Linked DNA regions of Mus musculus. The protein of the gene in region 5 purifies or fractionates together with the protein of the main gene of each other region. This does not show direct contact. Links are inferred from orthologs where the notes say so. Each region holds a gene or a part of one and is shown on either strand. Other genes may lie near its edges.

Region 1 (4,572 bases), on a different chromosome or scaffold from region 5:
TTCTGGGACATAACTATGCAACATAGTGTGCCTTTTTCATCTCAGAGGGTGTGGATGAATAGTTCTGCTCGATGTTATAGCACACATGCGGTTTCACTCAGGTACAACAGTAGTCACTGGACACAGAAGATGGTGTTCCTTGTAAGGAACATATACATACTTGATTCTAGTCTTTCACATTCTTGTGGGTATCCTGCTGGGAAGCCCATGTCCCTGAGCCAGCCTTTCTGGTTCAGATCTCAGCTTTCCTTGGGTAAAGTCAATGAGACCTGAGTAATGCTCACTTTCAGGGTGAGAGCCCATGTGTGCCCTCCACCAGGGAAACAGGGGTCAGGTGGGTCTGGGGAGTGCCATGAGGAATGTCTTGATGATGTAGATAGAACTGGGGTCCAGAGAGTGGTAGAACAGGTCCAGACTGTGGTACTTGGGGGTGCTGGTTAGTTAGAATTCCCATTGCTGTGAAGATTTACCATTCTAATAAAGGAAAACATTTAATTGGAGGCTGGCTTAGAGTTTCAGAGGTTTAGTCTGTTATCATTGTGGGAAGCACAGCACCATTTAAACAGTCATGGTGCTGGAGAAGCTGAGAGTTGGACATTTTGATCTGGAGGCAGCCTGGAGGAGACTGCATTCCAGACCATGCAAAGCTTGATCACATACCTGAGACTTCAAAGCCCACCTCTCCAGTGTCACATCTCCTCCAACAAGGCCAGAGTTCCTTAAGAGTGGCACTCCCTATGGGTCAAGCATTCACACACGAGTCTACATGGGGCCATACTTATTCAAACCACTGTAGGTGGTTCTGGGAGTAAGCATTCTATTTTTCTGTCATATGAAGAATGTTAGCCTTACTCATTTCTCTTCCACTCAGTGTGATCTGAGTCGGAGCCATCCAGGAAGTGACCCCACCAGCACCACCGCCTCCCTGTGAGTGGTTACATGTGTTGCCAGGAGAATTTCTGAGTTGGCTGGCAGACATTTGCTTCTTACAAGCAAGGGGCAAGTGATTCCTGTGAACCAGGTTTCAACTACAAGGCTTTCATGATACCAGCCTGGAGTGCTGGCCCAGTTCCAATGGTACTGGCAGATCTGGCCCTCTGCCCCATTCTGACTACTGTAGCCAAATCTGAGCCATCTAGCAAGCTCACGACGCCTGTGTGTGAGAGCAGCAAAGTGTAGGCAGCTCAGGGTTTGGAGCTGAGATGACTTCCAGTCAGATCTGATGTTTCATACCGTGAAAGCAATCGGAGACGGGAGGTGGCCATGGGGTGAGGGAGCCACAACCCCCCCTTCCTTTCAACCCAGCAGAAGTACAGGAATTTGAAGCCATTTATGCCCGTGGTCTGGTTTTATTATTATTTCAATAGCTGATTTTGTTAGAATGTTCAGGATACACAGAGAAGTAGGAAAGGCAGAGCCTAAATGCCCCCTTCTTCAGATGACCCAAGGTTAATCCTGGTGTGTTTCTGCTAGTCTTTCCTCCCTGTGGAACTAAAGCTAACTTAAGGTCACCTAACAGTACAAATATTTACCCCTAGCTTTCTCCCGAGTTGTTCGATGCTCTTCAGCCCCTCTGTTTTCCCTGGACTACAGACGGGCTACAGCCAGAGGCTCTTCAAGAAAAAGTGAGTATTTAGGGAGTTTCCAGTTCTTCAGTGTCAGGGACATCTGTCTCCAGTGGCAGAGTTCACAGGTCAATTGATCCCTTTGCTTTGAACTTCTTGGCAGACCGCTCACTTGCCCGAAGCTGGAATTTGCTTCCATAAATGTAGGAAATGAAGTCATCAATTTCTATGGTGAACACACAATTCAGCTTGGGGATGACTGAAGGGAAAAAAAAAAGAGGGGGAAAAAAGGATGAGAAGCAACATGGGGAGTGCATTCATTTTTGTGTGGAGCATTATTCATACATACTTGTATTCAAGTGAGTTGGACAGGTGTGGTGGCACACACTTTAATACGAGCACCTAGGAGACAAAGCCAGGCAGCAGGCAGATTTCTGAGTTCAAGGGCAGCCTGGTCTACATAGCACGTTCCAAGCTAGCCAAGGCTAGATAGTGAGAATGTCTAAAAAAAGTCTATAGGAATGAGGAGATCAAGCCAGAAATACCAAGGGAGACATGGGCCATTTGACTCAGTCTAAATGTAACTCAATGCCTAATTACAGGTTCTGGGGTGAATGACTCAACTCCCACGACCGAAGGCTCCCAGGCCCACCACCAGGTAGGGTTTTCCATACAATTTTGCACAGGTTCTTAGATGTGTGCTCATGAGGAAACTTCTATACCACTTCCTTAGACTTACAGTGCAAGCAGAACATCATGGAAAAACAATGAAGCAGGGCTCTGGGGGTAAGCCAGGGGCAGAGCGCAGGATTAGTAGACAGAGGTCCTGGGTTTAATTTCCAGAATCAACAGATAAAGGAATGAGTACAAACCCTCCATCTGTTGTTTGAATCTCTGGATATGTGGGTAAGGTCAGGTACAGAGACCCCAAAAGATCCAGAGTACCTGCTGGAACTTGCTAAAACTCAAGAGAACTAGGGTGCAGTTCTCAGAACTCCAGGTATAGGTTGCTTTGGTTTCTCCTGCCTTTCTTTTAGTTACTCATTTGAGAGGTGGTGACTTTGGTAGGTAGAGATCCAAGAAACAACCAAGCAGTTCTTCTGTCCTGTTCATGGACAGGCTGCAGGCTGTGTTCATAGATGTCTCCTGGGAGAGCCACATAGGCAGCGACCTCACTCACATCATAGTAAGCACTTGCAACCTGTTTGACTCCACAGGAAAGCAAACCTGGAAGGGAGATATAGTGGCATCTGATACCCTGGGGACACAGCACTCACCTTTTAGGTGGTCTTCTCTGGTGATGATCTTAAAGACATGTTTGGTCTCCTGCAGAAGGATTCCTGTAACTCCCACATAGGAGGGGCACTTGGATTTCGTGACTGCAAAGGAGAAAGGCAACTGACTGTAAGGACTGGGTGGTGCTGGCAGTCATTGCCAAGCCTCAGAGACAGGAAGATGGGCTTTTCTAAGCTGAGGAAGAAAGTGCTCAGAAGATAGTGGCTCTTGGGCAGTGACCCAGCTAGCAAGAGCCCAGGCTTCCTAGCCCCTTGTCCTGTGCTTCATGATCTCTTGGCTATTCTTGGGTGTCCTTTAGTTTTGGGCAGGGTTCTGGAGCCGAGAGGTAATACACAGAACCAACAAGTCCAGTGTACTGCTGTTGGAGCAAACACCATGGGCAGGGCATCTATCATTTACTTTTGGGTCTCCTGAACTTTGTCTGGAATGTAGTCCTTCTATAGAGTTGCCTAGCAATGGCATGAGCCACCTCATAGGCAGGCCCCTTTCCGCTTCCGTGTAGTCAGCATTCACAGAAGAAACTATGTGCCCAGTGAGCTAGGAGGGTGCTGGGGCAGGACACTGAATGAGATGGTTTGTATTCTGCTCCTGTGGAGCTGAAGCTGTGGTAGAGGACAATGTATAGTAAAACACGGGCAATTCTAATTCTTGATACTGATAATGGCTACAAGGAAAATAAGAACAGAATGGGGGTGGAAGAAGAAACTTTAGTGCTAGTAGACTCTCAGAAGTGACATCAGGAAAGGGGACCGAGGTACATGCATATGCAGAACCCCTTGGTTGAATGAAGGACTCAAGCAAAGACAACTGGTGTGCAAGCTACAAAGTGGCCAAAGGACACCGAAGCTGCTAGAGGCCTAGAACGGGTAACGTAAACAGCAGTCTGAAGTCTGACTGCAGCCTTCATTCTGGGTATTTAACCTTGTAGTGTATGTGGGAATAAAACAGTATGTGACCTGGGCAGGGTGTGGGGAGGCCAGAGAAAGTAGTCGCAGCACCTTGAGGGAGTGGGTCAGATTTGGGAGCTAGGTGTGTTAATGTCCTTGAGGTAGAGGATTGGGGAAAGAGGTAATTTGTATGTACTTCCTAGTTTCTAGCCTGGACAAGCTGTGCTATTCTAGGAGATGAGGCAAGCAGATCAGAGACAGCTGACCTCAGGGGACCAACGGCTTGGTGTTGGATAGCTAATCTGAGGTAGCTCTTGGATGTCCATCCAGGCAGCTTTGGGTGTCATGGGGTGAAGGAGTCGTGGGAAAAGTCTGCACTGGCGGTGACCCCTTGGAAACCATGATGGGAGGGAATCTGGGCCCAAGAGAATCGGCTAGAGCCTCGATTCCAACAGTGTGAGCAGATGGCACCAAGAGAGCACTTAGTGTGTGTTTAACAAGGAACCAGGATGGGTTAGATCACAACTATCTCAGATCCTCACTGCTTGTGACTTGGAGATAGTTCAGGGATGCCAAGTGACAGATGACAGGCTGAATGCTGTGACACACACTTCACTTACACTGAGTAACAATCTCCAGATGACTATATGCATTCATAGAAATTACCTGAAATAATAGCACCATGAAGATCTGCCTTTAGGAGCTTGGCCTGAATCATCTGTGGCTGCCTAGGAGGTGAAGAGCCCACAGAGAAGAGTCGGTAACAAGCCAGTAACAGTAACTGCAAACACAAACACAACCCCACAGCCTGCTGGTTTCTCAGA
Region 2 (3,836 bases), on a different chromosome or scaffold from region 5:
CATGTGTGCTGGCAGAACACAGAATCAAGCTCACGTTTACCAATCCTTTATGTATGCTAATAATGAAGGGAAAAAGAGGGATTGCTTTGTATGCTCCGGTCAGTTTGGCAGTAGAGTTGAACTTCAACTTAGATTTGTTTTAAGTACATATTAACAGGACAGGCACTGTCATATGCAGTATATAAAATCCTTAGCAGTGGTTTTTAAATATTCAAAATGCTGGGTAAGTACATTACAAATAGACATATTAGAATGAAGGCACACAGGACAATCACCGCCTGATGAACTAAGGAACACACTGAAAAGTGACACTGGAGGAAGGGTGTGGTGAGGAGGAAGGAAGAGCAGAGCTGCAGGAGGAGTGGGCTCTGCCTCATTGTGGGCCTCACACTCCCCTCAGGTACACAAACCGTACATGTGCAGACCATGGAAGAAGTCCAGGAGTCGGAGCGAACTGTCTCAGGAGCAAGAGGACTAATGGGAGGTGGTGTGAGGGAGTATGCACAGAAGGACTGGTCTGAGGTTAGGAAGGGAACCTGCACAAGAGGACTAGTTGGGATCTGCGGGGTGTGGGGAGTGTAACTAGTATGCATGAAGGGGACTAATAGCTGTAAGGGGTGTGGAGTGGCAGGGAATATGCACAAGAGACTAACGGGGTGAGAAAGGAGGGTGGAGGGCATGTGCCCAGAGCACATTTATTAGACTTGCAAAAAATGGCCTTATGTAACCTAGTATAATATTTTTACATAACCAATGACGCCCCCCAACCCCTTGGGAAAAACACACCCAAAATACGTAACCGTAGATACATGATCATGTAAACCAAAATAAGAAACATTCTGAGTTATAATAAAAACAAAAGTTATAGACTGAGTTTAGATAGGTGGATTTAAAAAATGATGTTTCTGGGTTGTTTTGTTTTGTTTTGTTGTTGTTTTTTGAGACAAGGTTTCTCTGTGTAGCCCTGGCTGTCCTGGAACTCACTCTGTAGACCAGGTTGGCCTCGAACTTAGAAATTCACCTGCCTCTGCCTCCCAAGTGCTGGGATTAAAGGCGTGTGCCACCACTGCCCATCGACGTTTCTGGTTTTTTTTTTTTTTTACTTAATGGTTTGATGTTTTCGTTTCTTTTCTGTTCCTGTGTAAAATACTCTGATAAGAGCAACCCAGAGAGTAATCAGTTTATTTCAGCTCACAGTGCAAGGGTAGAGTCCATCTTGGAAGGGAGTTCAGGGGCACAGGAGCCTGAAGCAGCTGGCTGCATCCTATTCCCAGCTGAGGAGCGCATGTCTGAGTGCCAGTGCTCAGCTTGCTTTCTCTAGTTTATTCAATCCAGGATCCCTAGCCAGGAAGAGGGTCTTCTCACATCCACTAACCAAACACTCACATTCTCAGGGGCTTACCGAATCTAGATAACCCCTCACAGGTGATTCTGGAACGGGATGGTTCTAGATCCTGTCAAACTAACACTACTATTCCCACTCCTGTTTCTGAAACTTATTTATTTTAGCAGGGAGAAAGACCACCCAGAGAAAAGCAGGAGCGATGTTAAAAGCCTCTGAAAATGTGGGCTGGGGACAGTGTGTAGTTTGAAAGAACACATTCAACAGTCATTCTGTAATGCAAACTACATACAATGCACACACTACATACAATGCACACACTACATACAATGCACACACTACATACAATGCACACACTACAGAGAGGAAGGCCTGAAATGAGGGCAAGGAACAGAATATGGTTAGAACTGGTTGAGAAGACACCCTTATAAGAACTCTGTAGGAAGGATAGTTAAAGCACATATATGCCAATTATCTGATGATAACCTGCCTCTAACGAGACCATTCTGATTTTACTATAAATAACAACATGCTTACCTCCATGGAGAAATACAGCTCTGCAATTTGTGGACACGGCAGCCTTGCCATCATTTTCAGAAAGCCCAAACAGCAGTCCTCTGATAGGGTCATTAAGGACTTCAACCCAGAGTCCGCCAAGGATATGAGACAACACAAACACAAACACAAACGAAGGGCAGCTCACCTGCTCACAGTGGCAGACAGACTTAGCCTGCCTGAGACCTGCACCCAAGAAGTCTCAATTAACTGTTTTGTCCTGTACAGTCCCTTGTCTCTCTTTTCTGCTGCTTAATCCAAACACCAGGAGAAGAAGAAGAAAGCTACAACTAGTTGTTATTGACTTCCGAGGCTGCTGGTCAGTAAACTTACAACTAAATGATAACAAAACACCAGGCTAAATTATAATAGCACTTTTGATTACATTTTTCTAAGGGAAAATTCTAGTTCAACGTGATGGCTCAGAAGAATTGTATAGAACAAATGATCAGCAACTCTGTTTTAACATTTAAGGGTGTCTGTTGGCAACCTGTGGCCTTGGATGGATGCCCAAGACCCGCAAGGTAGAAGGAGAGAACTACTTCCTGAAGTTGTCTTCTGATCAATGCCCAATAGGAACATAGGTTTTAAACAGAATACTGAGAGGATACAAGTTTGCCACGTCATATGGTCCTCTTATTTCCAAAGGCTAAAATGAGAAAAATAGAAAATAAAATGAGATATGAGATGTTATTAACATCTTAATTATTTATAATAAGTACAACTAAGTATCCAAAGATAAGTAAATTTCATAAATTAAGATCCTTATAATTGTGATAAGTTTTTAAAAATATATAATAAACCATATAAAGGGTTGTTTACAAGGTAAAGGGAAAAATAAAATCACTTTATTCTAGTTAATTCACAAATACAAACATGCATAGGCAAAACCCGAAGGCAAAATCAATGGGATACATTTCGCAATTACCATCGGCAAACAGTTACAAGCACTAAGAGGCAGTTCATCTCACTGTCTTGTCAGGTGTTCTAAAAGTGTAGCCAAGCTTTGTAACTGCTGGGACAAAGTATTCCATCTATGCTTACCCTTTCTGCAGCACTGGACAGAATTACATTCTATAAAACAGAAAGTGAGCAATATTAATCTTAGATAATTAATAACATAATTGAAGAATTGTATAGAACAAATGATCAGCAACTCTGTCTAACATTTAAGGCTGAAATACCAAGTTCTATTTTTAAAAGATAAGGTAAACAACGAATGAGAAAGCATCGAAAGCTCTCACTCAAGGCAGCCAATTTAAAAAAAGCAGAATAAACTTTGTAAGTAAATCTTAGTGAGGACGAATTAAAAGCTGTAACTTTAATTCACTCAGAGATAATCAACTATTATCTACAGAAGTCTTTTCATTGTGGCAAACTACAAATCCCTTATCAAAACTAGAGGCTTTCGGCACATCTTTCCTCCCTATCTTACTCCGCCCTTGGGAGGTTTTACAAGATCTCGGAAAGCTCATTGAAACTGAAGAATTTAGTGTTTTGAAAATTTTCTGCTTAAGGCAAGGAATCAGTTGACAGCACGGACACACTACTAAACTGTCAGAAGCAGAAAGCATCCTCTGGGCTGGAACTATACCTTTCCTTTGCAGATCTGCATCAAATTGAGGGCATTGGAGATTGTGTACCTTCTCATCGTTGCATCTCTGATAGCAGGACCATAGACAAGTTCAAAGCCCAGGCCTCGCTCAATTGCCTTTACCAGAAATAAAGAAGACAAAGTATAAACCGTCAAAGACAAGTACATTACCTACTTCCCTCTGAAGTCTCTTTCCACCTCCCTTCTCCCCCTCTGTGCATGTCTCCTACATGGCAAGGGACTGGCTTAAACAAAGGCAGGCCCACAGCTCTGCACCCCTATCCAAAGTGAGCAAACAGACATGAAGGTCTACTTCATGACAGAGCTTATGTCAGTTTGGGAAGC
Region 3 (5,780 bases), on a different chromosome or scaffold from region 5:
TTCGGTAGAGAAATGTTAAGTGCTGTAGGAAACTGATGTTCTTGCAAGCAAGCATTGTACCAGCCTTTAAAGCAGTGAATTTATATGCGCATGGACATTAGTCTTAATAAACTTTGGTTTTGTTAATCATTGTTTTGAGTGTTTTCTGTACTTCATCTGCCCCACCCAAAGAGAAAAGCACCTCCATGCAGGATCCTAAGAATATATGTAAGTTTTGATTTTATTTCTTTCAGTGCTCATTTAGACATTAGACATAGTGACAAGTCATACAAAACTACTTGGAAATGGACTTTTTACTTTTGGGTGGTTTTCTTATCTTACTAGGGTTGGGAATGAGCTTTTTTATTTTAAGGGGTTGTAATGTTGCAGCTGAAGCTTGTCCACCTTCAGCAAGCTTCCTCTTACTAAGTTTTGTAAGGTCATCAAATGACGTGTCCAAAATCTCGTTGTCCTGGCTTTCCGAGGGTTCAGTCTCTAAACTGTCTGTGGGACCTTGGGTTCTGTCTGGAAGCCATGGCACGTTTAAGCTGGGCACCCTGGGAATGATGGCTTCTACTTCATCAGCAAAGTCCCTGGTGTTCTTTCTGAAACCCAAGGCTAGCACACATTTTAAGCCAATGACAGGAGCAATTCTCTCGCTGAGCTGAGGTACCTGACAGGCAGGAACAGTTCTGCTTAGACTCAGCTGAATCAGGTGTGAGGTGATGATGGCAGGCTTGACTGACTTACACACTAGAACCAGGAGCAGTTCATTCCTCTCCAGAGCTCTGGTGACTTCATTAACACCAATGACCAGCTGTTTCCTGACGTGTACAGGTGTCCACCCTGACACCAGCACATCCCCATCAGGCTCTTTTGGATCCTCGCTAATCTCAATATCTGGCCGGCAACTTTGCTTTTTCATAAGAGCTGTTTTTTTCCTTTTCTTCTTATCTTCAATTTTCTGAAGTCCAATCAATTTAAACTTGGCTTCGAGAGTCTGTAATATAAAGTGTATGTCTTCTCTCTCCAAGGTGCTCCAGGAAATAACATAAGGGTTGTTTAGTGATGTTTTTACAACCAGAGGTCTAGTCTTCCGAATAGATCCCCTCTTTGGTGCCTGAGGGGCTGCAGCCATCTTGAAAACCCTTTGGAAAGAAACAAAATGATGAAACTCCTGTCAGCAATGCATGTCTTGAGAACATTTTGGTTATAGTCTCCAGTCTCTGTTGTTTTGTTTTTTATTCCAGGCTGATATGCTACAGCAAGTCTAATTATATGGGCCCAACTAGATAACCAGTCAGAGAATTTCTGTGGCACAAGGAAGACTTAATTCTCCCTATTTTTTCATGATGCTCAACAGGCAATGTGAGAGTGACTGGTGTTAATCTTACAGATTTGTGAGCATCTTCCAAACTCTAATTGGAATTCCACTCATTTATTTTAAAAATGTTAAAGACATTTATTAGGTTTGGGGTCATAGCACATGTGGTCAGAGGACAGCTCTATTAAAATGGTTTTCTCCATGTGAGTCTCAAGGGAATGAACTCAAGTCACAGGCTTGGTAGTAAATGCCTCTTCCCTCTGAAACATCTTGCCAACCCCTCATTCATTCATTTATAAGCATACTTACTGAGTTACTGCAGTGGGCAGATGGTGTTCCAGACACAGATGCTGGTGGGCTCTGAAGCCCCTGTGTCTGCCCACACAGAGCTTAACCTTCTGTAGTCTCTGAAGTTCATAATGAACCAGGTCAGATTTTAAGAAGCAAAACCGTAGTAATCTGTCCATGGCTAAAACTTTAAGTCTCCCTCCTCTCATGATTCCCAAGTCCCTAAAACATTTGAAACATGCAGGCCCATATTTTCCCTCTCACATGATTATAAGATGACTGCTTTGGCGGGCAATTTCATGAAAAATAAAAAAAATATGAAATTCAGAGATTAATCCATTAGGGAGAAGTAAATGGGCTGCGCTCCTTCCAAAAGCAAATCCGAAACAAAACACTGTTATTTGTTCTTCCTATAATAATTAACCTTACAGACAAGTTAGGACGTTAACTGCTCTCTTGTCGGGCATTCATTCATTTAAACCCTGTTTATCCTTCCCAAAGGCAACTGTATACCTCTGCTCTCAGTTGTCTCCTTCTTAGAGTTCATCTGAGAACTATGAAGACCCAGTTGACAAACTTCAAATAAGTCCCCCCTGCTTAAGGTTCCTCTAATTCAGGGCACTTTCTCCACGCATCTTGTTCCTAACAAACTTACAGAGTTCCCTGGCATGGATTAGGAAGCAGACTCACTGTACAACTCACAGCTAGTTTTTCTAAAGACTTCTTTTAATCATGGATCTATCTTAGAAATAACCTGTGGTTTTTAAGAACCATCAGATGGCTGACTCACCCTAGAGCTTACTGAGCTGGAATTTCTGGGAGTCAACTGTGCCACAGGTGCTGGTAAAAAGCTGCCCAACATTTGGAGATGTTGATGTGAGGCAGGTGGCATCTCCAGACTGCACGGCCTTTGGAGATGGTGTTGCACTCACTCCCAGTAAGAGCTGCAATCTTGATTCTGTCAGTGCTGCCCACTGCTACAGACACTGGCTATAGCTGCTTCCATAATAACTGCTTCCATCAATCCCCATGAGCTGCATGCTCCTCACAAGCTAAGAGATTCAAGAACAGGTCGTCCAAATCTATCGAGGTGACCAGCAGCTGGTAGCTAGCTTTGAGTAAAATGACCAGGAAGCAAGGGACAAATGGTCCCACCACAACGCTTGCCAAACTGCAAGTCAGCTACTGTCCCTGCCTAGCATGGGGGACACTCACAGATGCTCTGCAACCAAGGGATTGCAAGATTGGGATGTATGTCTCTGATTCACAAAAACCTGGAAGGGGAGATGAAAAAAAGAACCAAGCCTACATAAGATGACCGCCATGCAATACTAATTTTTAAAATGCTGAATATTAACAGGTTCACAGAGCTTGATCAAGTACCTTGCCAACTATGTCTGCAAGCTGCTACTGCCTACAGGACCAATTACAAACTCAAAATGTTTACTCCCATTTCTCAAGCATTTCTCCTTTCACTCATCACCCATATTACAGATTCTGGCTATTTAATGAGGCCTCTGGTTTCTCATGTCCTTATTCAACGTACACTGTGCCTGGTAGAGCACTTACATACATTTTTTTCTATCAAATTATTATGAATTATCCTTGCTGTTGCAGGCCATTAGGCATTGGGCAAAGCAAAAAGCTTCTGCGAGTAATAAAAACGGCTCACTCTAAAGCCAGAGTAGTGAGGTTATCTTGAGGAACAGGCCTTAGTTGAAGTCTCTGGAGAAAACGACCATTAACCAACCGCAATCTAAAATATTCCTCCTTTGAAGGAATTCTTTAGATAGCCCAAGAAGGAAGCGGGCAGTGAGGGATTACAGAAGAACATTAAAGTTCAGTATCGCCCGAACAGAGATGCTGGAGTTGAAGATACTGGGTAAGGACAAGATGGTGACTCTAGAGCCTTTCAAGAAGGGCGGCGCGATTAGAATCGCGTCACAGAGACCTTGATTTGGGAAGAGACCCTAGAAAGGCTGTCAGCAGCAGAGAAGCTCCCGCGGTCTCGGGAGGACGAAGGGGTACCCGCATCACACAACACGACGGAAGGAAACCCCCGAAGGCAGGGATCGGCTGAGACCAGCCGGAAAGAACCTCAGGGAGAGCGGGCTCTGGATGACCCCCACCCCGCGGTGACCCGGGTGCCCACGGGCCGGGACTCGAGCCACAGGCACGCACGCGCCCACCTGAGCAGAAGCGCCCCGCGGAGACCACGTGACGGATCGCTTCACTACAGCAACTCGGTCACTACCAGGAACCACTGCGCCCGCTCCACGTGCGCCTGCACTGAGCGTGCGCAGAACACGAGCTCCGCCTACCTGCCTCTGCATTACGTCACTCCCAGTCAGGGACGTCAGGCGTGGTGTGTGGACTAAACCTGGCACAGCACTGCGCAGGCGTGTATTCTGTCTCGCGAGAGTCTGTGGTTGCTGTAGTAACCAGCCTCTCCCTTCTGACTGGTCGTCCAAAATGACGATGCGGAACAGCTCGGTTCTGTGAGAGGTTCGTCTCTCCTTTTGGCTCTCCATTTTTAGCCCAGTTGCTTCTGCCTTGCTGTCTCTTTTTGTTCTGGGGATACAAAACTCCAGCCCTTATAGCCACCCATTCCCCTGCACGCGTCCCTGGGAGAGGCTGGTTACTACAGCAACCACAGACTCTCGCGAGACAGAATACACGCCTGCGCAGTGCTGTGCCAGGTTTAGTCCACACACCACGCCTGACGCCCCTGACTGGGAGTGACGTAATGCAGAGGCAGGTAGGCGGAGCTCGTGTTCTGCCACGAAAATCAAATAAATAGGGGTTATAGGGTTGCATGTACTTAGAGATTATGTGTAGAATCTTGGGCACACTGAAAGGAAAATAGGGGCTGCATTTAGTTCCACAGCAGTACTCCAGAGTACTCCGGCAATAGCTGTTGTGCCTTCTGACAAACGGAGACAAAAAATAAGAAAGGTTATGAAACAAAATCACTGGAAAGTTACAACTGGTAAGCAGTGGAATAATGTACTAAAGATTAAAAATTACGCACGCCTTTAATCCCAGTACTCGGGAGGCAGGCGGATTTCTGAGTTCGAGGCCAGCCTGGTCTACAAAGTGAGTTCCAGGACATCCAGGACTATACAGAGAAACCCTGTCTCAAAAAAACAAAAAACAAAACAAAACAAACAAAAAAAAAAGGCAGGAGAGATGGCTCAGCGGGTAAGAGCACTGACTGCTCTTTCAGAGGTCCTGAGTTCAAGTCCCAGCTCACAACCATCTGTAATGGGATCCAATGCCCTCTTCTGGTGTGTCTGAAGACAGCAACAATGTACTCACATACATTAAATAAATAAATAAATAAATAAATAAATAAATAAATAAAAATTACTTGACAGGAATTACTTTCTGTTCTTATGAATTTGGGAGGATTCAGGTCCTTCTCTTTATCTTCCTCTTTTTTCTCGGTGTTTTCATTGCTCATTTTAGACTAACATATAGGATCTAGCTTCTACGTTTCCATTATTCACCACCTATTGAACATTTAAACAGAACAAACACTGTTGCTTGTGGTCAAAGATTGTTGAAGTTTTTACAGGAAAAGCGTGCTGTGGTTTCTATCACAAGTAGATGAACTAGATTAAGTTCGGTCGAGTTTTGACTGTGCCATATAAGACGTCCTTTACTATTACCCGCAGTCATGTAGCGCTAAAGACAAATCGCGATGGTAGAATTGAAATACTAAAGGTTCACATAAAATCCTGGCTCGTGGAAGACTGAGACAGGAGGCTGCAGACTGGGCCTTCGGGGCCAGAACTTGCACACACCATAACAGAAAAATAAATAAATAAATAAATAAATAAATAAATAAAAATAAAAAAAGGCAGAAAGAGGGGCAAGATAAAGAAGTAAAAAGGTAATGGCTATGAGTGTTGTCCCACCAAAGTTCCAGCTCTTACATTACAAGCCTCTGCCGCCAGGCTGCTATGTTGACACCCTAGCCTTCCCACTAACTAGTGTCCCTACACCTCAGGCAAGTTAATTAGCCAACTATGAAATGATAAAAATAGTGCCTATTCTGAGGATTAGAAGAATATTCTGTGTAAGATGCTTACCACAGTGCCTGCCACATGGTACATGTCTGACAAATGGAACCACTATGACCCAGTGACAGCTGTGGCAGAATTAAGTTAATACAAATTATATATAG
Region 4 (4,572 bases), on a different chromosome or scaffold from region 5:
CTTCCAAATTGTAGTGTACGGCCTACATGATTTCCAAGTTGTTTAACCCAGGCTTGCATACTCCAGGGAACGCAGAGCTCTCTTCTTTTCCAACCAGCACATTCCTACATAGCTTCTAGTCTTTCTGGAACTTTTTCTCAGATCAATCCAAAACTGCCGACTTTAAGTCCACCACTTGCCTGAGTGCACTCAGTCGTGGGGTCTCCCCAAGGTTGGGACTCCAGAGCCTGCTTCTCCCTGTGAAATCTACAAGAATTAAGATTAGATCCAGGGCAGAGTCCCAGTTCGGGGCACACTCCTGGAGTGTGAGCAGGAGATTGGAGCCAGTCACTCACACTTGAGGTAAAAATAAAAAATAAAAAGTCCAGCTGCTGCAGCCACACTCCAAGAAGAGATGAGATATAAGCTCGTTGTTCTGAGCTGAGGGGCTGAGAATTGTCACAGATAGCAAAGAGGAAGAGGAGGGCCGGGCAGCTCTCCCCCTAGACTGATGCTGTGCTCATCCAAACACCATCTTGCTGATACTTTGAGAACACCGTTCCTTACAGTCCTCAGTGCGTCTTCCTTCCCGGTGCTTCCCACGTCTGTCTGATTCCCTCCCTGCCTTTCCATGGAAACGGGATTGAATATTGAGGGCGTGGCCCCAGGCCAGGGTCACTCCTTATTAAACAGTCTTGCTTTGATCAGACCTCATCTTTCTACTGCCCACCTCACCTCGCAGCAGAGCCCGAGCCTCTGCTCAGATTCAGTGGAGTTCCCAGAGTTTGCAAGTACCCGCCCCCACACACACACATTCCGCCAAGGCACTCCACCCTGCCTCCCACCTCTTAAAACCTGTCTTCTCTCAGTCTCCTTTTAACAAAAACAACCCTCTGGATTTCTAGAGGCCAAGGCTGACTGGCAAGGAATTCCACCTGGAATTGGAAGTCAGGAATCCGGCGTTAGCTCGGGCTGAGCCACGCTCATAAACATGTATGCAGCTCCAGTAAAGGACTTTCAGGCATGAATATAAGAATTTAACGCCTTGGAAGAAATGGTCTCCTGTTCCCCATTCACTTTAGGCTGGCCCAACGCATCACTTCCTGCATTTCAGAGGTGCATAGGTGCCGGGAGCCTGGAGGTATGATCAGGAGGAGCAAAGCTTAGTGTCTCTCTAAGCAGCTACGCAAGGACCAGGCCACGACGTAGCGGTCCCAGCCCAGGGAAGGCGCTGCGTGCAGCCGCAGCCAACGCCTCCCACTCTCTGCTGACCATGCACTGGCTGCCCTTGACGCAAAAATATAGTAAGAGAACGGGAGGGAGGTCCCTGGAGGGGTGGAGTAGCGAAGCCCCAAAAGGTGGTTTGGAGATCTCTTACCTAGGAGGGGTCTAGGGATGCCCTTGCGCTGGAACCCCGCAGGGCTCAGGGACCAGGCTTGAGTCGGCATTTGAACCTTAAGCATAGTATTTATTTAGGTTGTTCCTGCATAAGGTCTGGTTCAGGGAGAACAGATGGTGACTTCGGAGAACTTCACCTCCCAAATCACCCGTGGCTCTGTGACCCCAGCCGCTGAGCTCCAGCGCTGGATCCCAAAGGCTGGAGGGACTGGGACAAGTCACGCAGAGTTGGGGCGGGTCCTGGGCGAAGGGGCGGGTCCTATCTGGCTCCCAGGCGGAGCTTCTGCTAAAGGCGCGGAGCACAAGGTGCCGAGGGCGCAGAGTAGAACATCACTACCCTGTAGAAGTCTGGGCTGAAGACTGCACGTTCCCAGCCCACCCTCCAACCTTCACTCGGCGCCGGCACCCCAATCCCTGCCAGCTCTCGCCCGGCACGACCCGCGGCCATGCAGCCCCGGGCTTGAGGCGGCCCCATGGCAAAACCTGCGATCCCAGCGACGACGGCGCATGGAGAACTTCCGTAAGGTGCGCTCGGAGGAGGCGCCGGCGGGGGACGGTGATGAGGGTGGCAGCCCGAACTCTGGCCCTTTTGCAGATCTGGCACCCGGTGCTGTACACATGCGGGTCAAGGAGGGCAGCAAGATCCGCAACCTACTGGCCTTCGCCACCGCCAGCATGGCGCAGCCAGCCACGCGCGCCATCGTCTTCAGTGGCTGCGGCCGGGCCACCACCAAGACCGTCACGTGCGCCGAGATTCTCAAGCGCCGCCTGGCGGGCTTACACCAGGTCACGCGGCTGCGCTACCGGAGCGTGCGCGAGGTGTGGCAGAGCCTCCCGCCTGGGCCCACACCGGGTCAGACGCCCAGCGATCCGGCCGCCAGTCTCAGTGTACTTAAGAATGTACCGAGCCTCGCCATCCTACTTTCAAAGGACGCACTGGATCCACGACAACTTGGCTACCAGCCTCCGAACCTCAGTCCTGGTCCTTCGTCCCCTCCTACGGTGTCGACGTCCAAGAGGAGCCTGGGGGAATCTGCTGCTGAAGAAGGCACCGCTAAGCGGTCTCAGCCTGAGCCAGAGGCTGAGAATGAGGACAGGACCGCCTGAGAATTCTCGCCTCTGAGCCACCCAGACCGACTGAATCATATATCTTCAACACTCCTGCATACCTTTCAACACACGCACCTTTCATACCTGGGTTTTAAGGGGCCCATGTTCCTGGACACCGGTCCTCAGAATGACAGCGCGGATCCCAAGGCGACAGGAGAGAGCTCAGGAATGAGAAGAGAGGATCCTTGAAGTCCAAGGAAACTTTGTGGGACATGTTACCAGAAGCCACAGAACACCACCCACACCTTTGCTAGGCCGTCTTTTTTAGGGAAGCATGGTGGGTAGTGGGACTCTTGAGCTTTCTTGGGGACCCAGACGTTAAAAGCACCCAGTATGCATGGATGCTGACAGTTGAGGCTTTAAAAATCATCTTTGCTGTTAACTGAGAGCGGGAGCTACGGAGCTGATTACTTGAGGATGGCCAAGTTGAAAATGTCCGGACCCTATTCTGCACCCCCACACACACACACACCCTAGCAATTCCCTTTTAGCATCCCTCCCCCACCCGCCTTGCATGATGGCTGAGAGGGGACTTAGGACAAAATCTGCCATGCTTCCTCCCCGAGTCCTGCTGGAGTCTTGCTTCCAATAAAACAAACGTGAAAATGGCTCTGTCTTCAGTTTTGTTCTTTTTTTCTTTTTCCTTACCCACTCGCCTGTGCAGAGACCACTTTGGCATGCTTGCCTTCAACCCTATTAGCCTTTGGAGTCTTCAAGGTCAGACACAGAGACTGGGGCAGTGTCAAAATGTTGAAAGAGGGACTTGTGGTGGAGGGGGCCGGGGTCTGTGTCACTGTTGTATCACCACAAGGGAAAGGAAGCAGTTTTGCTACTTCTCTGGGAGGGGAAGGAGGGGGGAGCATTGATGAGCTGGAGGCGGCAGCCTGCCAAGGCCGGCAGACCATGCTAAGGTTCTAACCTTGCTCGCTCCTCGCAGTAGACATTCTTACCCAGAGGCAGGCACAAAGCCCCAAGAGTAGGAGCTCCCCTTCACTGCCCTCTCTCTGCAAAAGGACAGCACACCCTTGGGAGAGGGGGAGGAGAGAGACAGCACAAATCCACTGCTGGAAATTACTATTCAGCAGAGAAGCTTGGGCTGTGAATCACTGCGGGCTCCCTGATAAGCCGCTGCCTCCAGCCCTGCACAGCTGTGTGTGGAGAGATAACAGCCTCAGATGCCTCTCAGCCCAAGTCCAAGCCTGGAGGGGGCGGGGGTGTGCTGTGTGCTGGGGAGCTGTGCAGCGTACAGCTCAGAATCTTCAGAGCAGATGCTACCCCATGGAACCCAGCACCTCTGGAAAGGAGATGGGAGAGAATAAATTTGTAAGTCACTTTGCCTGTAGAACCTTGAAATAAATCCTACTGGCGAGGACGTGGGTTTCTGCAGCTGATGGAGGGCGCCTTGGGGAAGCCTCTTCTCTCTTCCCAGTATCTCTGCTTGTGTTTTGGATCACTGACTCTTGTCATCCAGACTGTCGATCATTGCCTTTCACCTCCCACCCCACCTTCCTGACTTAATTATTTATTTTTAGGAGAGGTCTTGCCATGTAGTGCAGGCTGGACAAGAACTGATCCTCCTGCCCTAGCCTCCCAAATGCTGCGATTACAGGTGTGTAATTTGTCCAGCTCTATTTCTTGTTCTTGAGGAATCCCTAGGGAGAGCCAGGGGATCTAGATGTGTTTGTTGGCCTGATGTGGAGTAAGATGCATGGAAGACTGAAGTTACTGAAGATGTAACTCGGCTGGGAGAGCATTTGCCCAGCATGTATAAAGTCTGTTTTTTGACTCCCAGCACCATGTAAATTTGTCATGGTGGTGCACCCCTGTACTACCTGAATCTAGAGGTGGAAACAGGAATACAAAAAATTAAAGATCAGGCTGGAGGGATGGCGGTTAAGAGCACTGACTGCTCTTTGTAAGGTCCTGAGTTCAAATCCCAGCAACCACATGGTGGCTCACAACCATCTGCAATGGGCTCTGATGCCCTCTTCTGGTGTGTCTGAAGATAGCTACAGTGTACTTACATATAACTAAAATAAATCTAAAAAAAAAAAAAAAAGATCATCCTTGGCTACACATGGAGGA
Region 5 (5,057 bases):
GTCCTCTAACACGCCCCAGACAGAGCTACTCCATAAGTGGCAGGGACTGAATTCCTTGTGCATCTGACAGCTCGACAAGGGGCATAGCAAGCACCTTACCTTGGTATCTTTCTGGATCAGGCAAAGCTCTGGATCGCTGTGGGGGCAAATTTACTCTCGGATCCCTAACTGTCAATCCCAGAATAGTACCTGCTGGAATTTCTGCTGGTGATGATATCCCTTCAACAAAACAGAGAGAATGAATGCATAAAAGCAAGTTTACAGAAAGGCAACACCCAGGGCTTGCGATGTGGCTCAGTGAGCAAAGACACTTGCCGCCAAGTCTGACAACCTGAGTTCTGTCCCTATGAGTAAAGAAGAGAACTGACTTCCTTAAGTACACATGTGTATATGTACACATACACAAACAGAAAATAATAAAGGTAATAAAAATGTTGTATAACACAATCTTGTTTGTATTTTGAAATCTTTCAGATTTTTCCAATGAAACATTTTCCTTGGGATAATTGTTTTAAAATACATATCACCTTTTGCCCATTAATACCTTCAGAAATAAAATTAACACTTTAAAAATAAAGTTTCTTGCAAAATAAAATTAAAAGACCATAAAATTATTCCCTAACAACTGCACACATTTGTCTAACAGCTGTGCGCATCTGGGGGCAGTGTGCAAGGACATTAGGTCAGCAGTTATTGCTCGCTTACTCTTTCTTACTGCAGAAAACCAGTTATTTAGAATAGGAACAAGCTTGTTATTTCATAAACAAGCACAAACTCAATGCTTTAATCTTTAGCTCTGGGCTTCTTACTCGATTCTCGTTATATCACAACAAATAACAGCAGGATAAAGCAAGGCAACCGCTCTCCTGAGCAGTCCCACCCCTCCCTTCCCTTCTCGTCAGCACCAGATCCTCCCTCCTTGTACCTCCCAACAACTCAAACACTGCTTCTTGTCTTTGGTGAAGAGAACGACCATCAGAGCTCCTGCAAGTGTCAGTCCACCAGTGATGTGGTGTCTCCTCGGCATCCTCTTCCCCCTGGAAAACAAGGACCTGGCCTAGTCCCTGCTGCAGCTGTAACACGGCTGTAACAAGGCTACACTCGCTTTGTTTCTGTATGTGAGAACAACTGCTTCACAGAGAGTGGCAGGGAAGATGCCAGCATATCTAAGACAGTAATTGCTACCTGACTAAACATTCTAATTAGCAGTTTCACACACTCAGAATACAGCCATGCTTTTCAAAGACACAGCTTAAGTAAGCATTGTCACTCTCTTTCCCTAAGAGACCCTTTTCCATCTCACTGCCTTCATCCTCTCTTAATTTAAGCGGTAAAGTGTTCCTTTTTTACCAAACCAATGAAAACCTCGAGTAAACCACTTCACTATTCTCAGCAACACCGGACGAGATGCGTAAACACTTCTACTTACATCTTTCTTAGCAAAGCTGGGATTTAGCAAAGTTGGCAAAGCATTTCAAGTATAGAAGTGTGACAAATATGACAGTGAAGGCCACTATTCATGCTGAAAGCCTCCTCCAGACCCTAAAGTGGTAACTCGTCTGCCACTCCCCTAGCAGAGCTAAGTGGTTTGGAGTCCAGGCCCTAGAACAAAGCCTTCTGAACTCAAATCTTCACTCCAACCTTTTTGAGCACATACAAGACCTCCATGTGCTAGGCACTGTGCTAAGCACTGGGGACAGGGCAGAGGGCAGGGCCTGCACTGCCTGTCATCAGCAGCCGCAGACATCAATGAGAGATACGGACGTTAACGTAGAAGGAACGTGCAGGTTCTACAGAAACAACAGGCAAGCGAGTTACCCAGAGGGGATACAGAGTGTAAGACACAGGCTGAGCCTTGAAAACTGAGGGACGCTTAGCCCAACCAAGAGTCGCACAACAGAGTGCTCAACAGATACAAAGAAAACAGCTGTGAGTCCTGACAGAGATGAGAGGTGACACATTCTAGAACCTGAAGGCCAACATGGCCAAAGGTCAAAGGTGAGGTGAGAACTGCAGGTGTGAGGTAACACAGGCCACAAAGAGCGCCCTGACTTTAATCCTTAGTTAAAATTAAATAAATACAAATCAGCTCCTCACCCACTCAGTCACAAGTAGGACTGGCGGCTACAAATCCTGAGAACACAAAGGATGTCAGCCCTGCTTTTGATCTGAAGTGCCGGGAGACATGTTGCTCAGAACTTTCCAGAAAATCAGTCAGATAAGCCAAACTAAAAGAAAACAAAAAACTAAAGGAAAGGGGAATAAAAACTGACATAAAATGTCAAGAGATTTTAGAGACATCCCATTGTCCATCTACGGAGCAGGGATTACCTTCTACAGATTCACAAAAGAGGATATGAATTAAATATTCAATTGACTATCACACCCACTGAAATTCCATCTTCTAGAAGTGAAAGATTAAAAAATATATAAGCAAAAATGAGCTGGTAATAACAGATTATATGGCAACCCAACAGAATACGAGATTGTATGTGAGGCCTCACAAATCTGCCGTGTTTACTCACTGTGTGTACAGGAGCAGCCCTCAGTGCTGAGGTCAGGATACAGTGCGAAAGAGGGCCTATCAGCCGGAACCTGTTCATCTCCATTGTCAAGTCACTGAGAGAAGACCACAAAATGGAAATGTCTATCACACGTGATGTCTGTGATAAAAATGGAACATAGCAAACATGGTGGCACACAGCACAAGGCATAGCCAGGTAGGGTGGCACACACCTTGAATTCCAGCACTTGGGAGGCAGAGGCAGGCAATCTGAGTTTGAGGCCAGCCTGGTGTACACAGTGAGTTCTAAAGACAGCCAGGAAAACCCTCTATTGAAAACAAAACAAAACAAAACAAAAAAGGAAAGGGGGGGAGGTGATGATCGTAGTGTTGTCACAATGACAGTCTCCCACTGAAACTCCTCCTACCTGACTATAATCCCTGTAGTGGGAGATCGCCATGACCGAGGCTGGCAGGCATCTCGTGTCCCGTCACCAATGGTCTTCTTAGCTCGGCTAACACTCTCCCCATCGTCTCTCCTTTTTCTTTTCTTGCTGATTTTGTCACCAGCTAGTCCTGCTTGAATGTCTTCCGGGGCTGGTGTCAGGAGTGGGTCAGGCATGCAGATATTTGACTTGACGGGTTCTGAACAGTGGCATGTTGTTTTTATTTCTTCTAGGACAGCCTAAGGAAGTATGTAAACATTCACTTTAACCTTCAAAATTAAACACAGAGGGCTCAAGAGATATATTTCTTAGTGGTTAAAACCACCTCTTCTGGCCCTTGTGGGTACCAGGCATACACATAAAATAGAAAAATAAATCCTTCAAAACTGCTTTAAGTTAAATGCAGTGTTACAAATTACATTGACAGAGATGAGTGTGTTCACTGTGATAAACATTACATAATGTGTATCTATTTATTAAATCATCATTGTCAAGATAAGTACATCCATTCTTTGCTCAATAGTTTTAGATAAAAAAAAAATTAAATTAAAAAAAAAAAATCAGCCAGGCATGAAGACGTGGGTTTTTGGAAGACAGAAACATGCATATCACCTTGAGTTTGAGGCCAGATAGGTCTACATAGCAACAGGATAGCCAGGGCTACACAGACCCTGTTGAGAGAGGGAGAGGGAGAGAGAGAGAGAGAGAGAGAGAGAGAGAGAGACAGAGACAGAGAGACAGAGAGAGAGAGAGAGAGAGAGAGAGAGAGAGAGAGAGAGAGAAAGAAAGCAAGCAAGCCAGCCAGCCAGGGCTACACAGACCCTGTTGAAAGAAAGAAGAGGAAAGAAAAGGAGAGGAGAGGAAGGGAGGGAAGGAGGGAGGGAAAGAGAGAGGGGGAAGGAAGGAAGGAAGGAAGGAAGGAAGGAAGGAAGGAAGGAAGGAAGGGAGGGAGGGAGGGAAAGCAAAAGAAAGTAAGGGAAGGATGGAAAGTAACATTTTAATTGATTCATTTAAAAAAATTATCACATCAAATCGTCAGCCAAACTTTTTTACCACTGAAATTTCTAAAATACTGTCTTCCAATAGTAATTAAGAATGCAGCAGTAAGCAGGTCCATGTGGTGGAAGGAAAGAGCAGACTCCCACGCGTGTACGGTTAAATCCCTCCACACACTGTGATTAAAGAGATGGAATGCAACAGAAAGACATACCAGTTTAAGAGTTGGGTGAAGCCAGATCCACAGCTGCCTATCCTCAGAAGCATCCTCTGGGGTCATCCTAGACTTCCAGATGAAGGTAACCGGCCCAAGCATTTCCCTGGGATACTTATTTGCCCGGTAAAGCATGAGGCTCCCTTGCCGCTTCCCAGACAAGCAGTGAACTGCAGCAAAAGTCAGGCCTGGCACAAACATAAATGCAACAGCGAGACTGTGGGTGCTCACACAGAGCAGTATTATTCCTGAGAGCCATGCTTTAGCAACTGTCAGTCTCTGAGAGAAGCTTTGGTTCTGGCCAGAGTAAGTCCTCAAAAAATCTTTGTTAAATCAATGATTTAGTGAGTTTCAAGGTGTTTCTGCCTAAGTTTACTCCGGGAATAATGACTCACTTTACATAAGAATGTTATTAAAGATTTAAATATCAACTCAACCTTTCTTAAATTAACGTACTCACTGGGAATAAGAATATCTTACATTTCCATATTAAATCTGAACTGCTTAGTAGTGCTTATAACAGACATTTATTTACAAATGAACAGATACACAAAGATTAACACAGCACAAGCTGTTGAAATTACCTGCGTCTATGCTACACATTTGAGAGAGCGCTTTCAGTAGTTCTTCCTCTTTGCCTTTCAACTCCAAACAGCAGTAATATGATAAATCCTGAACAAAGGAGAGACATGTTTAAATATTCTAGGATCTGTTATGGGGTAAAAAAAAATGCTAAGAAGCCAGTGCTGTATCAGAAAACCTGTGGAGGAACACAGGAGAGATGGCTCAGAGGTTAAGAGCACAAACTATTCTTGTAGAGGACCCAAGTTCAATTCCCAGCTCCCACTTTGGGTGGTTCACAACTACCTCTAACTCCACGTCCAGAAGGGATCTGATC
Region 6 (4,176 bases), on a different chromosome or scaffold from region 5:
GGGGCTGGCAAGATGGATCAGTGTGTGAGCTGTGAAGTCCTTGCTGTGTGAGCCTTTGCTCCTCAGAACCAATATAAAGGTTGAGGAATCGACTTCACAACGTGTATGGTCCCTGCACTGCATACACACAATAGCCATAGCTTTAAAAGTAAATATATATTTTTAAATTTTTATATATGTGCCTGTGTGTGTCTGGGCACACACACAGGCCAGAGGAGGGTGTCAGGTCTCCTGAAGCTGGACTTAACATTCAACATGGGTACCGGGAACAAACTCGAGTCCTCTTCAAGAGAGTCATCTTGAAGAGCAGAAAGTGCTCGTAATTGCTAAGACAGTTGAGTCCAACAACGTTACAAAATCATTTTATTCAGTCTATTTATTTGCCATAAGTTTTAGGATAAGTTTATTAAAATGGTGCAGTCGTGCACACCTAAAACATTAGCGCTGGGGAGGCCAAGGCAGGAGCATGAGTTCTAGGCTAGCCTGAGCTACATCGTTAAACCCTATCCCCACCCCCACCCCCCAAAAAAAGATTTTTTGGTTTATATGTGCAACTCTTCCTGAGACTCCTCTAAATGTTCATTAAATATATAGATCAGCTCGGAGTAAACTGAGGTCTAGCATGTCAAACCTTCCATTTTAACCTAAATCCTAGAAGTTAGGGATGTATCTCAGTTGAGTGAGTCCCTGCGGTTATAACCCTGGCACTCACAAGGTGGAGGCAGGGGGATCAGAAGTTCAAGGTTGGCTATATAGCAGAGTGCACACTTCCCTTTCCAGCCTTCAGTCAGATTCAGCCTAGGTAAGTGGCCTGGAGATGTATCTAGGACGAAGCCCCAAAGCAGGCTTCACGCCTTTCTGCAGGGAACGGTCCAAATGCTTTACCATTGCGGGCAGAGATCCAGATTCCCACTAACTTTCAGGGGCTAGGAACCCAAGCACTGCAGTTCCTGTCCCTTCCGCCAGGGAGCGGCCGGTCATGGCTTGCCGGTCGCGGGAAGCAGCTCGAGTGCGGCGGGACAGTTAAGAGGTGTGGCGGGAAGCTGCCAACACTTGGCACCTCATGTGGGTCCCTCGCAGAGGGAGGAGTCCATCATGGTGGACACGATCCCTTCGATTTCTCGGCTTCCGGGGCTGTCAGGACGTCGGGCGGGAGGTCAGCTGTCAACTCCACTGCTCAGAAGTGGGATGGACGTGGACTACAGGCTTCCGGCCCCTGCGATCCCAGCTCCAATGCTGACCCGGGGTCGCTGCCCGAACCCCCTTTTCCAGCCCTGCTTCCCGCCTCGATCCTCGAGTCCCGCCCTGCCCGGGGAGGGGAGAACTGGGCGATCCACGCCACGCCCCTCTTGGGCCCGCCTCTGTCAATTAGCCCCGCCTCTGCTAGCTAGTCCCGCCCTTCGAAGCGCTCACTAGAACCCTGCGAACCCTCAAGTCTCGCGAGCCTTAAATCGCCTTGCGCACGCGCACGAGGAAAGGAGGCGGAGAGTACGGAAGCCTAGAAGGCCATAAGCTTATCGGTTCCGGCTTGGAGCGGGGACGCGCGTGCGCAGTGCGTAGCCCTTGCTGGCGAGCCTGCCCGGCGTTCCTCTTCCGATCCCTTCTCCGTTCTTCTTCTGCATATCGAGGCCAGCGACGTCCACTTGGATCGGTCGGCGAGGCTCACGCGAGTGAAGGGCACTGAGGAAGGAAGAAGGTAGGCGTGGACACGCCGGGAATGGGAACCACGTGATGAATGAATTAAAACTGGGAGTGGAGAAAGCGGAAGTGGAAGGGCTTGAGACACTGGGAAGGAAGAGGGTGTTGAGGGCGCCCCCTTCTGGTTGCACCCTTAGAAAGCCGGGCAAGAAAGGATTCTCCTGACCTCCCTGAATCTTGTTCCTTCTCCATGCCAGGACTCAGAGCATGGCAGAAAACAGAGAACCCCGCTGTGCCATCGAGGCTGAGCTGGACCCTGTGGAGTACACCCTTCGGAAGCGACTTCCCCACCGCTTGCCCCGGAGGCCCAACGACATTTATGTCAACATGAAGACTGACTTTAAGGCCCAGCTAGCTCGCTGCCAAAAGCTCCTGGACGGAGGCACTAGGGGGCAGAACGCATGCACTGAAATCTACATTCATGGCTTGGGCCTGGCCATCAACCGGGCCATCAACATCGCCCTGCAGCTGCAGGCGGGCAGCTTTGGGTCCCTACAGGTGGCCGCCAATACCTCCACCGTGGAGCTGGTGGACGAGTTGGAGCCAGAGACTGACTCTCGGGAGCCCCTGACGAGGGTCAGGAACAACTCAGCCATCCACATCCGAGTCTTCAGGGTCACGCCCAAGTAACTGAAGGGAGGCTGACTTGGACCCACCAAGGCTTCTGAGCACACACATCCATGTGGCCGAGGTTTCTAGTGCTTCATAGTGGCTCTTGTTCTGAGTTCTGTCCTGAGCCTCTTGTTACCTTGTTACTTCAGCCTAGAGGACTGAGAATGGAGAGCCCGAGAAGTGAATCTTCCTTGTCCTGTATAATAAATTATTAAGTTGTGTTGGTGCCGGGCTTCGAATGGCCTCTTTTTCCTAGTGTAATTCTGTGTGTACTTGAATAGGAAAATGGTAGGAAAGAGCAAGTATATAGGCCACAGTAAGGCATCTCACATTGAACCACAGTATGACGGGAATCAAATTTGTTGAGTGTAACACGGAAGCTTAATTGTTACAGTGTGCTCTCAGGAAGATGAGAGAGTAGACTCATCGACTGAGCTAGCTACAGCTGGGATGTATCCGGCTCTCATGGTTCCCAGGCTTGGGAAAAGAGAAGGTTTAAAGGTGAGGGAAGTTCTTTGTGGATATAACTCAGCAAAGGAATCGTGACTAGTGAGTGTTACCTAGTTGCCTAGCATAGGATTAGGCCAGAGGTTCAATTCCTAGTAACCACAAGAATTATGACGGGGGAGGGATGGGGAGATGGCTCAATAGGCAAGGCACTTGTCAAATAATCATGAATATTTGAATCAGCAGAACTCATTTTTCTGCGGAGCATTGCAGCTCTTGAATCCAATTCCCATGCTTCTACAGTGAGATAGGTATCAGAGATGGGCGAATCCTCGCTAGCTTGTGGGCTAGCTGCTCCGGCATAAACATCAGCAGCAAGAAACCCTGGCTCGAAGTGGAAGGTGACTTACACGTAAACTGTAGCACATGTACTGGTACTCACACATACACATGCAAAACTGACGGTTTGTTTGCTGGTAGTCAAACCTAGGGCCTTTTTACCCAAAGTAAGTCTACTGTTGCTGAGCCACGCCCCCAGCTCTTCAGTGGTGGATTCTAAGTAGCCCTTCTACGGCTAAGCCCCTAGCTCTTGAACTGACAGTTTTGACTGTTACACTTGATTCCTGTTCCCGAAGAGCTCATGTGTTGCTGGGCATCGGTAGTCTAGAGTCTGAGATCAACCTAGTTCAGCTGTTTAATCTTTCTTGCCAGCTTGCTTAGATGTAAAATCACCCAGTAGACACTCCTCTGGGCATGTGTTTAGCTGAGGTAGGGAGAACCTGCTCTTTATGTGGATGGCAGCATTCCATCCATGGGCTCGGGGCCCAAACTAAATACCGAAGAGAAATTGGAGGGGCTACCAAGATGGCTCCAGGGGTAAAGGCAAGCCTGACCGCCTGAGTTTAATCCCCAGAGCCCACGTAATGGGAGAGAACCAACGTCTGAAAGCTTTCTCCTGAGACGTGTTGATTGGCTTTAGGAGCTACACAGTGGCTCACAGGCTTGTTTCTGAAAAGCCAACTGACCTGGGTGTGATCACATGCATATATTATCTTGACGCTTAAGCTGAAGCAGGAGGGTGGGTTTGAGACCAGCCTGGGCTACTCTTGTTTCAAAAGCAAACCTGCAGAGTGAAGAGATGCTTACGGTCTTGGAGAAAACCTTTGCCACCCACACATCTGACAGGAGATTGTGCCTAGAATTACAAAGATCGCCCCAGATCACCAGGACATAAATCCTTAATTAAAGGACTAATAAACTGAATAGAAGGTACATAAAGGAGGGACTGGAGAGATGGGTTCAGTGGTCAAAAACACCAGCTGCTTTTCCAGACGACTCTGGTTCAATTCCCAGAACCCTCCTGGCTCCTCCAGTGACAGGGGATTCAACACCCTCTTCTGCCCTCCCTGGGCATGGGCA

What was found.
Region 1: the proteins of Pop1 (region 5) and Pop4 purify together in Homo sapiens (affinity purification with mass spectrometry; 5 studies listed by BioGRID and IntAct, counting the BioPlex papers as one, with this or other methods). This does not show direct contact. The link is inferred for Mus musculus from reciprocal best matches to the Homo sapiens genes POP1 and POP4.
Region 2: the proteins of Pop1 (region 5) and Rpp30 purify together in Homo sapiens (affinity purification with mass spectrometry; 5 studies listed by BioGRID and IntAct, counting the BioPlex papers as one, with this or other methods). This does not show direct contact. The link is inferred for Mus musculus from reciprocal best matches to the Homo sapiens genes POP1 and RPP30.
Region 3: the proteins of Pop1 (region 5) and Rpp38 purify together in Homo sapiens (affinity purification with mass spectrometry; 3 studies listed by BioGRID and IntAct, with this or other methods). This does not show direct contact. The link is inferred for Mus musculus from reciprocal best matches to the Homo sapiens genes POP1 and RPP38.
Region 4: the proteins of Pop1 (region 5) and Rpp25 purify together in Homo sapiens (affinity purification with mass spectrometry; 3 studies listed by BioGRID and IntAct, counting the BioPlex papers as one, with this or other methods). This does not show direct contact. The link is inferred for Mus musculus from reciprocal best matches to the Homo sapiens genes POP1 and RPP25.
Region 6: the proteins of Pop1 (region 5) and Pop7 purify together in Homo sapiens (affinity purification with mass spectrometry; 3 studies listed by BioGRID and IntAct, with this or other methods). This does not show direct contact. The link is inferred for Mus musculus from reciprocal best matches to the Homo sapiens genes POP1 and POP7.

What each region holds. Positions count from the first base shown.
Region 1 is NC_000073.6:38,261,486-38,266,057, forward strand, and holds the end of Pop4 (ribonuclease P protein subunit p29), read right to left. Parts: intron 4,477-4,572; coding exon 4,415-4,476; intron 2,945-4,414; coding exon 2,843-2,944; intron 1,825-2,842; coding exon 1,688-1,824; 3' UTR 1,335-1,687; downstream 1-1,334. UniProt on the Homo sapiens protein: Component of ribonuclease P, a ribonucleoprotein complex that generates mature tRNA molecules by cleaving their 5'-ends.
Region 2 is NC_000085.6:36,099,944-36,103,779, reverse strand, and holds part of Rpp30 (ribonuclease P protein subunit p30), read right to left. Parts: intron 3,609-3,836; coding exon 3,492-3,608; intron 2,972-3,491; coding exon 2,942-2,971; intron 2,547-2,941; coding exon 2,509-2,546; intron 1,960-2,508; coding exon 1,880-1,959; intron 1-1,879. UniProt on the Homo sapiens protein: Component of ribonuclease P, a ribonucleoprotein complex that generates mature tRNA molecules by cleaving their 5'-ends. Also a component of the MRP ribonuclease complex, which cleaves pre-rRNA sequences.
Region 3 is NC_000068.7:3,328,747-3,334,526, forward strand, and holds Rpp38 (ribonuclease P protein subunit p38), read right to left. Parts: upstream 3,883-5,780; 5' UTR 3,781-3,882; intron 3,753-3,780; exon of another isoform or gene 2,484-3,752; coding exon of another isoform or gene 2,382-2,483; intron 1,711-2,381; coding exon of another isoform or gene 1,613-1,710; intron 1,128-1,612; coding exon of another isoform or gene 1,118-1,127; coding exon 275-1,117; 3' UTR 203-274; downstream 1-202. UniProt on the Homo sapiens protein: Component of ribonuclease P, a ribonucleoprotein complex that generates mature tRNA molecules by cleaving their 5'-ends. Also a component of the MRP ribonuclease complex, which cleaves pre-rRNA sequences.
Region 4 is NC_000075.6:57,502,353-57,506,924, forward strand, and holds Rpp25 (ribonuclease P protein subunit p25), read left to right. Parts: upstream 1-1,749; 5' UTR 1,750-1,884; coding exon 1,885-2,484; 3' UTR 2,485-3,095; downstream 3,096-4,572. UniProt on the Homo sapiens protein: Component of ribonuclease P, a ribonucleoprotein complex that generates mature tRNA molecules by cleaving their 5'-ends. Also a component of the MRP ribonuclease complex, which cleaves pre-rRNA sequences.
Region 5 is NC_000081.6:34,507,894-34,512,950, reverse strand, and holds part of Pop1 (ribonucleases P/MRP protein subunit POP1), read right to left. Parts: intron 4,832-5,057; coding exon 4,744-4,831; intron 4,348-4,743; coding exon 4,160-4,347; intron 3,189-4,159; coding exon 2,932-3,188; intron 2,620-2,931; coding exon 2,526-2,619; intron 1,038-2,525; coding exon 926-1,037; intron 220-925; coding exon 100-219; intron 1-99. UniProt on the Homo sapiens protein: Component of ribonuclease P, a ribonucleoprotein complex that generates mature tRNA molecules by cleaving their 5'-ends. Also a component of the MRP ribonuclease complex, which cleaves pre-rRNA sequences.
Region 6 is NC_000071.6:137,499,799-137,503,974, reverse strand, and holds Pop7 (ribonuclease P protein subunit p20), read left to right. Parts: upstream 1-1,545; 5' UTR 1,546-1,696; intron 1,697-1,895; 5' UTR 1,896-1,905; coding exon 1,906-2,328; 3' UTR 2,329-2,536; downstream 2,537-4,176. UniProt on the Homo sapiens protein: Component of ribonuclease P, a ribonucleoprotein complex that generates mature tRNA molecules by cleaving their 5'-ends. Also a component of the MRP ribonuclease complex, which cleaves pre-rRNA sequences.